3 linked regions of the Macaca fascicularis genome follow. The protein of the gene in region 3 purifies or fractionates together with the protein of the main gene of each other region. This does not show direct contact. Links are inferred from orthologs where the notes say so. Each region holds a gene or a part of one and is shown on either strand. Other genes may lie near its edges. The genes, in order: SKAP1, CD36 and FYN.

Region 1 (4,351 bases), on a different chromosome or scaffold from region 3:
GATCGTTTTAAGCAATTTTAGCATTAGATATAATTGAAAAGAAAGAAAATTGGCTGGGTGCAGTGGCTCACGTCTGTAATCCCAGCACTTTGGGAGGCCGAGGTGGGCGGATCACTTGGGGTCAGGAGTTCAAGACCAGCCTGGCCAGCATGGTGAAACCTCATCTCTACTAAAAATACAAAAAACATTAGCCAGGTGTAGCGGCGCATGCCTGTAGTCTCAGCTACCTGGGAGGCTGAGACACAAGAATGGCTTGAACCTGGGAGGCAGAGGTTGCAGTGAGCCATGATAGAACCATCACACTCCAGCCTGGGTGACAGAGCAAGACTCTGTCTCAAAAAAAAAAAAAAAGAAAGAAAAAGCAAGAAAATTTACTTTTCCTTCCAATCATATAGAAATTGTTTTATTTTGTACTGTGTTTAAGCAATTGCCCTTGTGTACTCTGTTATTAATGTGAATTATCTAAAGTAGCCTAAATAAATGAAAATTTTGCCAGGTTTCAATAAAGCACTTTGCCATTGGTCCTTTTAGGAATGGAAGACATCGTAAAAGGAGCTCAAGAACTTGATAACATAATCAAGCAAGGATACTTGGAGAAGAAAAGCAAAGGTAATGGTCAGACCCACAGATTTCAGAACATTCCAGGAAGGGAAGGGAAGTGAGGAAAAAGAAAGCTAACATATTGGGTGCCTTCTCTGTGCCCGGTACTGTGCTAGGCAGATACAAGGCAAAAGTAATGCAAGGAAAGGAAAGGAATCTGGTGTTTGTGTGTAGGCTAAAGAGAGATGTCCCAGCCTTGAGTAGACCATAAGCTTCATCAAGATAGGGATGGTTATATCCTGCTCACCTCTCTATCCCCAGTGCCTGGTATGTGACAGGTGCTTAATAAAACTTATTGAATCAATGAATGGTGTTCTTGTCCTTATCTCTCAGTGTGCTCCCACTGGGTAGTTTTTATATCATATGTGAAGCAGCCTACTTTCAAATTTCAGACAAGCCCAACTCTTTTGTTTTTTGTTTTTGTTGTTGTTGTTGTTGTTTGAGACTGAGTCTCGCTCTGTAGTGCCATGGGTGTGATCCTGGCTCACTGCAACCTCCACCTCCTGGTTCAAGTGATTCTGCTGTCTCAGCCTCCCGAGTAGCTGGGACTACAGGTGTGCACCACTATGCCCAGCTAATTTTTTGTATTTTTAGCAGAGATAGGATTTCATCATGTTGGCCAGGCTGGTCTTAAACTCCTGGCCTCAACTGATCTGCCTGCCTCAGTCTCCCAAAGTGCTGGGATTACAGGCATAAGCCACCACACCCGGCCTTTTTTATTTACTTATTATTTTTTTAAGATGGGATCTCCCTCTATTACCAAGGCTGGAATACAGTAGTACCATCATAGCTCACTGCAGCCTCCAATCCTGGCTCAAGCAATTGCTCCCACTTCAGCCTCTCAAAGAGCTGGGACAACAGGTGCACAACTGTGCCTGGATATTTTATTATTTTTTATGGAGACAAGGCCTCACTTTGTTGCCTAGGCTAGTCTCAAACTCCTGGCTTTAAGCATACCTTCCATCTCAGCCTCCCAAAGTGCTGGGATTACAGACCTGAGCCACCACTTCTGCCTTCAAACCCAACTCTTGACCTTTAACTCATTTAATTAGAATAGGTACCACTAGAGTTGGCATCTCAGGTTTAACACTCAACAGGCAAATTGGCTCAGCACAAAAAAAAAAAAAAAAAAAAAGCTCTTTCATGGCCATGGCCTGGAGAATCATTTTTCTTTGTCAAAGGCAACACATAAAGATATAATGGAGAATTTGAAAATGTACAAGATGAGATAAGAACCCAAAAGATATAAAGGAGGCTAGATAAAAAGACAGCTGTGGGGCACAGAGCAGGCACCCCTGTTTAGAACTTGGACCTTTAACTGAGCTAGTCCCCCGGACCCTGAGTCAATATGGGATAACCTGTGGGAGTGAAAAGGAGGGTTTTACAGTCCATTAACCTGGGAAATAAAACAATAACACACTGGACTGTATGTTGTTGGATTTTACAGACTCTTCAGTGATGGTAGTTACCTGAATTTATGTCCCCTACTGCTGTTCTGTTTAGATCATAGTTTCTTTGGATCGGAGTGGCAGAAGCGATGGTGTGTTGTCAGCAGAGGTCTCTTCTACTACTATGCTAATGAGAAGAGTAAGTGTTCTTCATTTACACAGCAGCATCTCACTCCTGGATGCAAACACTTCGTAAATTCTCAAGCACTTAGATCTCAAGATAGCAGTCCTTAACTAATACCCATAAAGGGACATGCTTAGGAAAGAAATAGGCATGGGCAAATAATACCTTGCCCATCACCGAAAAAGCAGAACCCAATTTAGAAATTATTTCACATTTAAACACTAAGAGTGTGGTCAGCACATCAAAGGGTTATCTTTTATTATGATTAGCAATACATTATCAAAGTTGAATGTTTTGATTTAAAAAATAAAAATAAAAAGAACTTCAAACTCTTTACAGGTATCAATACCATAGCTAAAATATTGAAATAAATTAATTCTGAGAAAGACTTAAAGAACTTAAACAATGGCCCAGAAATTGAACCCCCTAAGGGCATGCTCCCAGCTTTATCCTAATGACTACTAGGAAGTAAGTAGTCCAGTGAACATTCCTATAGCCATAGAATATTGAGACCCAAATGGTTGCTGTACCCAAGGCACGCCCTTCAGCCAGATGACAGCAGCAGTGAAGTGTTGACTCAGGCCAGAGATAGTTTCTTAATGAGCCACCACTGACTTAATCAAGTCAACACTCATGAGCTAACCCTAGAAGACCTCCCATCCATGTTTAACGTAATTGATTGATTTATGAAAAGGAATAGAGGATATAAGCACAATAGGAGGCAATTACAAATAAATACAAGCTAAAAATTATTACTATAGATGAATGCAAACTTTCGAATAGGGGATACACTTCTACAGAGTTGGACTGCCCCAGGAGTAATTCTAAGAAACAAGAGGGAGACAAAATTTAAAAAACGTCAATTCTTGGCTGGGCGCGGTGGCTCACGCCTGTAATCCCAGCACTTTGGGAGGCTGAGGTGGGCGGATCACAAGGTCAGGAGATGGAGACCATCCTGGCTAACACAGTGAAACCCCATCTCTACTAAAAATGCAAAAAATTAGCCAGGCGTGGTGATGAGCGCCTGTAGTCCCAGCTACTCAGGAGGCGTGAACCCGGGAGGCGGAGGTTGCGCTGAGATCGCGCCACTGCACTGCAGCCTGGGTGACAGAGCAAGACTCTGTCTCAAAAAAAAAGCATCAATTCTTGTTGGGGCTTTCTTGTGCTGTGCACCTTCGAACAGAGGCCAGCGATACAGATTGAGTAGAGCCTTTTTTTTTCCTTGCAGTCATTTTCTGTTTCTCCTTTCTTATTCCTTCCTCAAACTTAGTCCTCTCCCAGTGCCTGGATATCCAATGTAGGGAATAATCAGACACCCACCCAGTTGCCTTTGTACTTCCTGCACCTGCAGTACTAAGGTAGTAGAAAGAACTACAGCCTCGGGCCAGGCACAGTGGCTCACGTCTGTAATCCCAGCACTTTGGGTGGCCAAGGCAGGCAGATCATGAGGTCAGGAGTTCAAGACCAACCTGGCCAACACAGTGAAACCCCGTCTCTACTACTAAAAATACAAAAATTAGCCAGGCATGGTGGCAGGTGCCTGTAGGCTGAGACAGGAGAATCGCTTGAACCCAGGAGGTGGAGGTTGTGGTGAGCCGAGATCACGCCACTGCACTCCACCCTGGGCAACAGAACGAGACTCTTTCTTTTTTTTTTTTTTTTTTTTTTTTTTTGAGACGGAGTCTCACGCTGTTGCCCAGGCTGGAGTGCAGTGGCGCGATCTCGGCTCACTGCAAGCTCCGCCTCCCGGGTTCCCGCCATTCTCCTGCCTCAGCCTCCTGAGTAGCTGGGACTACAGGCGCCCGCCACCGCGCCCGGCTAATTTTTTGTATTTTTAGTAGAGACGGGGTTTCACTGTGGTCTCGATCTCCTGACCTTGTGATCCGCCCGCCTCGGCCTCCCAAAGTGCTGGGATTACAGGCTTGAGCCACCGCGCCCGGCTGAGACTCTTTCTTAAAACACTGAATCTTTGCTAAGTTACTTGAAATCCTTCAGATTTGCCCTTGGGCTTGGTAGCAATTGCCTCATGCTGCCTCCCTGCCTGCAGTAGTTATCACAGACCTTTGCCTAGCTTTCACCATCCTACATCCCTCAGAACCTTTCCCATCTAGGGGCAAAGGCTAAAGCCCTGTTTGGAAAGGATAACAGCATAGTTTGTAAACTGAGCTACAAGTCCCAT
Region 2 (5,088 bases), on a different chromosome or scaffold from region 3:
CACTACCACCTCCACCAAACATGTTCACACTGCATTTTATGAGTTAAATAGTACTATCTTTGACTCAACTGCCCAATGTATCATTCATTTTCACTTCATTCCCACATTCGAGGAAACCATCTTTCTATTTTTAACTCTATAATTTCTCTACAGTCTAAGGCTCATTTCCATTCATATTTCTCCTGCTTTTGTTCAGACAGTTCATCCCTGACTTACTATAGTAACATATTAACTGGTTTCATATTTTCTTATAGTTCCTGTTCAATATGTTTAAAATATATTATTATTGATTCACATGGAGTATTTAACACACAGTGATTTCACCAAAGCCACATGGACACACTTGTGATTTACAATAATTTTGAGGACGGAAGATTATTAGATTGTCTGATCAAAGGATCACCATTTCTTCCACGCACAAAAAAATTAAGGTATTGAGAAATATAAACTTTTTTAAATAACCTTAGATAAATTTCCCAATGAACGTTGTATTCCAGAAACCAAAGTCATTTGTGTTGTTATTATAGTTTCCACTTGGCAGTGAATGGGTTAAAGATCACTTTCTAAAAGCAAGTCTTACTAAAAATTAGAGCAGAAGGCCGTAAAGACTTAGAGGCATGTAAAGATATGGAAAGGAAGACACGAAATAGGAGCAATTGGGCAGAATAATAAACTGGTGTCATAACTGACAACAGTAAATGTCCAGTTTACTGAGAAGTGGCCTTCCTACCACTCATTTTCTTCTGAAACCAATTGATCTTATTTATTGTTACACTCTTCTCATCATCTTCCTTCACTACGACACTCCTTCAGTGTCCTTGGAGAAAAGCACATCTATGGTTTTGCTTGCATTAACAGTTTTCCAAGTAACTCACAAGTGAAGAATATCATAAGTTAACTGCACGTGTTCAGACACATACCTTGGGGAAGACACACACACACACACACACAAACACACACACACACATCATTCATGCAGGCTGCCACATTGAAAACTTGCTTGACTTGGCTTCTCAATTCAGCCAGCAGCAGTTTGTCTTACTACTTACTGCATTATCCAGCTCTTGCATAACTTCTAGTCTCTTTTCAGGTCACCATCCCAGAGCTTCTTGTAGGGTTGGCTGAGACCTTGTTAGAATTCTCCATAAGTATCCTGTTGTGACACTAACAGGAAATTCTAACACCACACTCCCTCTCTAGTCACATTAAGCATCTTAGCCTCACAGATATACATTTTTTGTCTGCACTCTAGGATGCTGGACAAACTGTTCCCTATGCCTTGTACTTCCTCACTGCCTTAAACTCCCCCAATTTAGACAGCCCTTTCTAATCTTTCAAGTGGCGGCTTTGACGTCTTATCCTCTTAAAATAAAAAATTTAAAACCCTCTCTTCTACCCTAGACTAGGTCAAATATTCTCTTATGTTTTCCCCTAAAACTCTTGGCTTACCATGCTAATAACATTCATGAATACATAAAACTGAGTAATTTAATTTTTAACTCTTCAAACTTAGGCTCCAAAAGGACTAGAAATGTTAAATATTATTCACCATTGTAGTGGTGGATCTTGATATAATGCCTGACATATCAGAGACATTCAAATTTTTTTGAAAGAATGAGTGGTTTCTGTGTTGAAATGAGTATTCTTTTTGCTCTCTTGAAAAAATAAAGTTGTTGCTTTGAATGTGGTTAGACATGGCCCTAAGATATGAACATTAACTTTTTGGAATGTTTTTCTCTTGAAATTATTGATTTAATAGAATTGTATGGCTCTGCCTCTGTCAAAATAGAACAAGTCATACTTGCATTAACAAACAATGTCAAAACTCAGTGACTTGAAATAATGATTTATTTCTTGCTCACTGCTATAGTCTAAATATTTATGTACCCCAAATTGTATATGTTGAAACCTAATCCCCAAAGCAAGAGTATTTGGAGTTGGAGCCTTGGGAGGTATTTAGGTCATGAGGGCGGAGCCTTCATGAATGGCCTTAGTGCCTTTACAAAAGAGGCTCCAGGGTGATTCTTTGCCCCTATTACCAGGTGAAGACACAGCAAGAAGCCTTCTTTTACGAGGAAGTGACCTTACCAGACATCAAATCCGCCTGTGCCCTGATTTTGGGGTCCCCAGCTTCCAGAACTGTGAGGATTAGATGTTTGCTCTTTATAAATCTACCAGGTTTTGGTGTTTTTTTTTTTTTATAGCAACCAGAATGGATTAAGACATATTATACGTGAATACAATTACATGGAGAGTATTCTTAGAATGAGGAGGACAGAATGCTGATGATAGAGTATTGGGGAATAATTAAAAAGTAAATAAGAAATTATGTGTATTTAAGTGTAATTACATCAGAAATGCGTTTATATACAGTTATGTGAACAAAAGTAAATAATTGGGTGTTTCATAATATTTGCATATCCAACCTATTGCCATTAATGAAATTCTTCTATAAAACTAAGTAATTTATCTTTTGCATTATTTAACTATTTTCTCAAAAGAAGTGATTATTTATTTAAATTTCCAGTGATCATCTAGAATAAACCCATATAAAAGGATATAGTCTTTTTATGTATATGCATTAGTGAAAATGGAAATCTTTCTCACAGGAGGCTTTGATGACAGTTTGTAAATTGCTTGCAAGTTACTATATTTATTTCAGGTTTTATGTTTTAGATTAGTGCTAGTCAAATTCTAAAACCTTTTTTATTTTTTGAAATATTTCTTTATTACCAGTTTTTTCCAGATATTTGTGGACTTGTCTTCCTAACTGATGTGCTAGTATTCTCTAGATTATTTCTCACAGGTAAAGACAAAGTCTTACTTTCAGAATTTTATTGTTAATGCTTTTAACTACTGAGAATGCAGATTATAGCATTGTGTTAAATGACAATATGAATCATCTCCTACTATTGCTCAACTCTTTTCTAGTTTAGCCTTGACTTTCTTCTTCTGTAGGCAATATTCTCAAGGCAGGACCAATTCTGCTAATGAGTAGAATAGGCAGATTGATAGATAGCTGATAGAATGTAAGTGATTTCAAATTTCTCCACAAACTTGTCCCAGTGTCTCACATTCCCACATTAGCTATACTTCTAAAAATTAGCTATTTGGGCACTTTTACAAAGTTAACTCATTAAATAAATGTGTTTGTTTGGTTTCTCTATGTTATTGGTTTCTCTATGTTACTACCCTCTTTTCACTTTTTATTTCTCAGAATTTTAAAGAACAGTGTCACATTGTTGAGCTATTTTAAAGCTGTAAATAGAAAGGAAAGGAAGAGAGAGGCTTCAGTCACAGGCCAAAAGCTATTAGCACAGCTGAAATCAATCACTGTCTTTCTTGTTCCATAGGAATTACTACTCAAGGGACAGTCAGAAAGGGTCAAGGAAAGCTATTTTTCTTCCCACGATTTGGAAATACATCTTCTTTCCTATGATGAAAGCGATGTGGGGTGTGTGTGTGTGTGTATGTGTGTGTATATATATACACACATATATATATACACATATATATACACACACATATATATATACACACACACAGAATTATATTGTATCAATTTATATATATATATATATATATATATATATATATATTCCTCATTCTTACTCCTGATTTCATTCACTTATTTCAGCATCTTCCAATAATTCATCTCTCTAATCGATAAAAAGTAAATGGTGGTAGAAGCCACTCTATTCCACTGAAATTATTACCACACTGCTTGGGTAAGATTATATGTCTCCTGAATTGAACTGAGGACTTCCTGAGTAGAGTGATTCTGTTTTTTTTAAAAACTTTCATAGTACCTGGCACATCAAGGCCTTCAATAAGACTTATTAGAGTAATGAATGGACATATGAATTGATGAGAATACTTTAAAACATTATATAGTTGTAAAAGAGATTTCTGAAAGTCGTAGAAAATCTGTTCTTTTGAGTGGTTTTAAAGATTTAAAATCGATTTCCCAATAAACAGATGGTTCAAAATACTCAGATAAATTCACAAGATTGTTGTGAGTAATCAATAAGGTAATAATTAATAAAAATAAACAAGCAACAGAAATAAATAAATTTTAAATAATAAATGTTTTAATATAGGTTAACAAAGTATTTATCTGTGAAAGATACTACATGCTCAATAAATGAACTGCCCTTAAAAAAAGTGTTTTCCAAGATCTCAACAAATAAGCCATGATATGCCAACTATAAAGTACAGATAATCTGCTGACCAATTCCATCAAGCAAATCACATCCACATTAATACAAGTAGACCATAAGGGAGGCACCAAAAATCTCACATGGGAAGATTAATCACACTTTCCGGGAGGCTTTTGTGTATAAAGGTTGATTTGAGGTCTTCTTTTTTGAAGGGACATCACAGTAGCTTCAGAATTATATGACTGATGAGTTTCTGACTGAATCAATCCACCTTGGATCTGCTATGTTATTTTATTTGTTTTTATTCCTCTGTCCAGTTACTTCTTTAACATGACTATATTTAGTTTTAACTGTCCTCATTTCATCAACTCTGGGGCCCTTAAACACGGTTGAAACTATCTTTGTAAACAAATGCAAAAAGTATTTATGAACATGCTCTTTCGCTTTTCTTCAAAGGCATAAAAAACCCTTACGGTGCAGACTAGTATTAGATCTCTAAGAGAAAAATGCAAAGGAATCACATGAAAGATAATATTTAGTTAAAAATTCAGTTTTGTTTAGGACACCAAAGGATTCCAAAACCTTAAGCTAATTCACCCTCAATCAGTGATTTAGTCATTCTTATATAAATAGTTGTAGACAGATAAGAATAAAAATGATTCTGTTTTTGCTAACATTTGCTTGAAATTTTTGCAGAGAAATCCCAAGTTGTTCATTTATATCCTTTTGAATACTCCTGACCATAAATTTTCTTGCATTTTATTCTCTTATTAGGCAATGGGCATGCAGAGCACAATACTTGGGCATTATTGGACTGATAAGTATCTGTAAAACATTTTCTTTCCTTGATGAAATCTGCAATTTGCCTATAGCCTGATTTCCTTAAGGCTTTTGCCTATTGACTCATCTTTGACAACCAGCCAAAAGG
Region 3 (4,351 bases):
GGAAAAGACAACTTGAAGTATTTTAGGATGAAGATAAAAAGACAAACAACTTTTACAATTTAACCTATTGCTTTCTACTTGGGAAACAAAAATATTATAGGATCTTTGGACAAACATGTGGAACTAATAATAACAACTACAGTAGAACAACAGCAATAGAACCTATTCAGCCAAGTCCCACCATTAAGGGCTGGCAAAGAAAACATATTCTAGGAGTGATTTTGTACATAATTAGTTTTACCCTTTCCACTTTCCTGCTCTGGGCCTATCCACTCCCTCCAGCATCCACACGGTTAGTAGGCAGTTAGAATTCAGGTTACCTGAGTAATGTTGTACAAGCTGCTGAAGGGTTTCAAACTGGGCCCGGGTGGTAATGTAGTATCCACCGTTGTCAAGTTTGCGAATTTTATAATGTTTGACGTGGTCTCCTTTCATATCATCCCAATCGCGGATGGAAAGTGAATAGGCACCTGGTAAACAAGCAAAGCATTAGCAGCTCCAGTCATTTAGACTATTAGCTTGCTTTTTAGGCCTCATTTTCTTGACTCTGATTAATAATTACCAAGGATACACACACACATGTACACACACACACAGCATCTCCACTCAGTAACAGGAAGAAGATGCTTCTTGATGTCCTGCAAATGTCAGAAGATATTAGCAGTAAAATAATTCTGCACTTGAGACTGAAAGCTTCCTGGATATTTTTCTTAAACACACTGCTCAGTCACCCTTGTTGTATAATACAGCGTAGACTCAATTCCGACACTCCTTCCCTCCAGGGTAGAGAGAAGGACCACGATGCACGGCTGAGTTTGCTTCCCCTGTCTTCTCTACCCAGGGGCATACTGGGAGGTAGCGGCAGCATGTGCAAAAGAAATCTAAGGCTTTTTTCTCTAGAAGTGAGCTCCAAGCTTCTGTTTTACAACACTTTCCACAGGAACAGAGAATCTGGTGGATTAAGCTAGAGGCCCCTACTCTTTTCTTCCTTGACCTATCTCCTCTTGTGGGCTGTAATGAGTGGTTAAATAATGAAAAGTCCAACAGTTGGAGGAAGAGAAGTGAAGTCCTCAGTTATTTAAAAACAAAAGGAAAGCAAAAACAACCCATATGACTGGCACCCGAGGAACTAAGAGTTTCAGAAAATCGAAATTCTAAAGGACTTCTGAAAATTCTATGATCTTGTGTGCCCGGAGCAGTAAAGCCGCCCCCAGCCTGTTTCAGGAGGAAGGTCTTGATTTGGAGCCTCTGTAGTTCTTTTGGTGCTGTCTGCAGTTCTAGAGCCTGGAGGCAAGACTGAAAACAGGACTCCACTCATAAGGCAGGGAGGATATGTGCCATTTTAAAAACCTTGTACATTACAGATAAGCCTTTCATCCCCTCTGACTAATCCACAGATTTGAATGACAAGCCAACTTCTTCAACTCGTTATCTTACCTTTGGTGGTTTCACTCTCGCGGATAAGAAAGGTACCTCTTGGGTTTCCAAAGGACAATAGCTGTCGCTCAGCATCTTTTCGGCCAAGTTTTCCAAAGTACCACCTTTAAATGAGATCAAGGAAAGAAAATACTTCGTAATAGTCATTTACAAAATGCAACAGCATAGGCTTTCTTTTTTGCCCATGAATTCCCCTCACCTCCGATTTAGTCCTTAGCCTTTCCCTGTACGTATTTTTTCTAGCTTAATTCAGTTCCTTTCCAATCTATCCTGGATTCTATCCCTAATTCATCTCTTTCACTCTTTTAAAAAAATCAGATTTGAATTGTGGGTTGTTTTCCTCCCCTCCAGACGTGACCAGAACTGGTTTGTGTTAAAACCGCCACCTGTATGCAAAAAAACCCAGAAATCTAAGACCTTGATTTGAAATGGCAACTGCATGAGACCCTCTCCACACTTATTTAAAAGACTCTAGTCTGGGCATGGTGGCTCACGCCTGTAATCCCAGCGCTTTGGGAGGCCGAGGCGGGCAGATCACCTGAGGTCAGGAGTTTGAGACCAGCCTGGCCAACATGGCGAAACCTCATCTCTACTAAAAATACAAAAATTAGCTAGGTGTGGTGGTGGGCACCTGTAATTCCAGGTACTCGGGAAGCTGAGGCAGAAGAATTGCTTGAACCTGGGAGACCCAGGTTGCAGTGAGCTGAGATCGTGCCATTGTACTCCAGCCGGGTGACAGAACAAGGCTGTGTCTCCAAAAAAAAAAAAAAAAAAAAAAAAAGGCCAAGCATGGTGGCTCACACCTGTAATCCCAGCAGTTTGAGAGGCCAAGGCGGGTGGATCATGAGGTCAGGAGATGGAGACAACAATCCTGGCTAACACTGTGAAACCCCGTCTCTACTAAAAATGCAAAAAATTAGCTGGGCGTGGTGGTATGAGCCTGTAACCCCAGCTACTTGGGAGACTGAGGCAGGAGGATCGCTTGAACCTGGCAGGTGGAGGTTGCAGTGAGCCAAGATCGTGCCACTGCACTCCAGCCTGGGTGACAGAGTGAGGCTCTGTCTCAAAAACAAACAAAAAAACAAAACTCTTGAATCTCTTGATATCTGAGCATTATTAACTGCTGGGAAATAACAAAACACAGCCTCAATGTATATGAAGATAATTAACAAGCATTAAAAAAAGTCAGAATAGATAGATATGATATGAATAAAGGAATAGTATTTTCAGTAACTTCCTACCTATAAGAATTCTGAGAAAAATGCCCGTGAGTACTTATTTGTATTTTGCTTTCCCCCAGGTGTGAGGACTTGGATAAGTAAAGGCATTTGCCAGCACCTGGATTGTGATCTGTGTACATCATTATCTTCTTCTTCCTCTTTTTCTGTTTTTTTCTTGAGACAGGGTCTCACTCTGTCACCCAGGCTGGAGTGCAGTGGCATAACCACAGCTCACTGCTTGACCTCCCCAGGCTCAAGCAATCTTCCAACCTCAGCCTCCTGGGACAATAGGTACACATCATCACACCAGCTAATTAAAAAAATTTTTTTGTAGAGGCTGGGAGTTGTGGCTCATGCTTGTAATTCCAGCACTTTGGGAGGCTGAGGCAGGCAGATCACCTGAGGTCAGGAGTTCGAAACCAGCCTGGCCAACATGGTGAAACCCCAACTCTAATGAAAATATAAACAATTAGCTGGGCATGGTGGCATGTGCCTGTAATCTCAGCTATTTGGGAGGCTGGGGCATGAGAATTGCTTGAACCAGGGATGTGGAGGTGGCAGTGAGCAGAGACAGGGCCACTGCACTCTAGCCGGGGGACAGAGTCAGACTGTCTCCCTATGTTGCCCAGGATGGTCTCAAACTCCCGGGCTCAACTGATCCTCTCGCCTTGGCCTCCCAAGTGCTGGGATTACAGGAGGGAGCCATCACGGTTGGCCCTGTACATCTTTTCCTTGGCACAACTGTAAGGACTGGTTACTGTACACCTTTGAGATCTGTGCTCAGTCAATAAGCGTGCCCTTAAAATGACTTGGTGTTGCAGATATTTCAATATATTATCCCTGAACAAACTAATGATACTCTGTGCCACTTCAGGAGGCATCACATTAAGTCACCTCAAGACTTTTGTTATTTGCCTTATATCCTCCCCCTACATTCTCAAGCCTTAACCAAGCCTGGCAGTTAGTTACTATTTCAGCACTAGGTGCTGAATGAGCAGCAGGTGCTCCCCAAACCCAAGGGAGAATGCTGGAGCATTCAATTGGAATGTGTGTGTGGGAACCATTTTTAGAATATTTAACTGTGAAAGAATCCAGATTCTAAAATGAAATTTCAATTCACTATGCCTGAATATAGGTATTATGAGTTCACTGTCAAATTCTTTTGTGAATTAAGCTTCACTGAAGAAAAGAGACACGGCGTGTTAGCTCCTCAGTGAGTTTTAGAAACACCAAAATGTGCAACAATCCTTAATCTAGCACTAGGTGGTGTAAAGACTATTACGCCAATTATTTGTGAGAAACGGCTTTCTGGGTTTGTACCCATAACCCAATTAGAATGCCGTGTAAGACAGTGGTGAAAAAAGAATTGTTAGAACAATGGATTGCACCAAAACAATAGTATTTTAAGATAATAATAGTTAATTACACATGTAAAACCAAAGGCATTATTTTAAAAAATAATACTGTTTAAAAACAAAATATTTAAAAAGTTGACCATTATAAAAATAACTTAAATATATAACTGACAAATTCCCAGTTAAATCAGGGTAATGCTACATTTTGGTGGTACTTTTTATTCTGAAAGAACACAAAGATTTTTGCAAATCTGCCCTAAAATACAAATTAAAGACAAATATCTTGATTCACTGATGATGAAACACAGTCACTGGGAGAAAACAACAACTAAGAACCAC

The links.
Region 1: the proteins of FYN (region 3) and SKAP1 purify together in Homo sapiens (affinity purification with western blotting; 3 studies listed by BioGRID and IntAct, with this or other methods). This does not show direct contact. The link is inferred for Macaca fascicularis from reciprocal best matches to the Homo sapiens genes FYN and SKAP1.
Region 2: the proteins of FYN (region 3) and CD36 purify together in Homo sapiens (affinity purification with western blotting; 3 studies listed by BioGRID). This does not show direct contact. The link is inferred for Macaca fascicularis from reciprocal best matches to the Homo sapiens genes FYN and CD36.

The regions. Positions count from the first base shown.
Region 1 is NC_088390.1:58,534,369-58,538,719, forward strand, and holds part of SKAP1 (src kinase-associated phosphoprotein 1), read left to right. Parts: intron 1-531; coding exon 532-609; intron 610-2,103; coding exon 2,104-2,187; intron 2,188-4,351. UniProt on the Homo sapiens protein: Positively regulates T-cell receptor signaling by enhancing the MAP kinase pathway. Required for optimal conjugation between T-cells and antigen-presenting cells by promoting the clustering of integrin ITGAL on the surface of T-cells.
Region 2 is NC_088377.1:140,878,576-140,883,663, reverse strand, and holds the start of CD36 (platelet glycoprotein 4), read left to right. Parts: upstream 1-2,034; 5' UTR 2,035-2,141; intron 2,142-5,088.
Region 3 is NC_088378.1:15,756,675-15,761,025, forward strand, and holds part of FYN (tyrosine-protein kinase Fyn), read right to left. Parts: intron 1,542-4,351; coding exon 1,438-1,541; intron 471-1,437; coding exon 321-470; intron 1-320. UniProt on the Homo sapiens protein: Non-receptor tyrosine-protein kinase that plays a role in many biological processes including regulation of cell growth and survival, cell adhesion, integrin-mediated signaling, cytoskeletal remodeling, cell motility, immune response and axon guidance.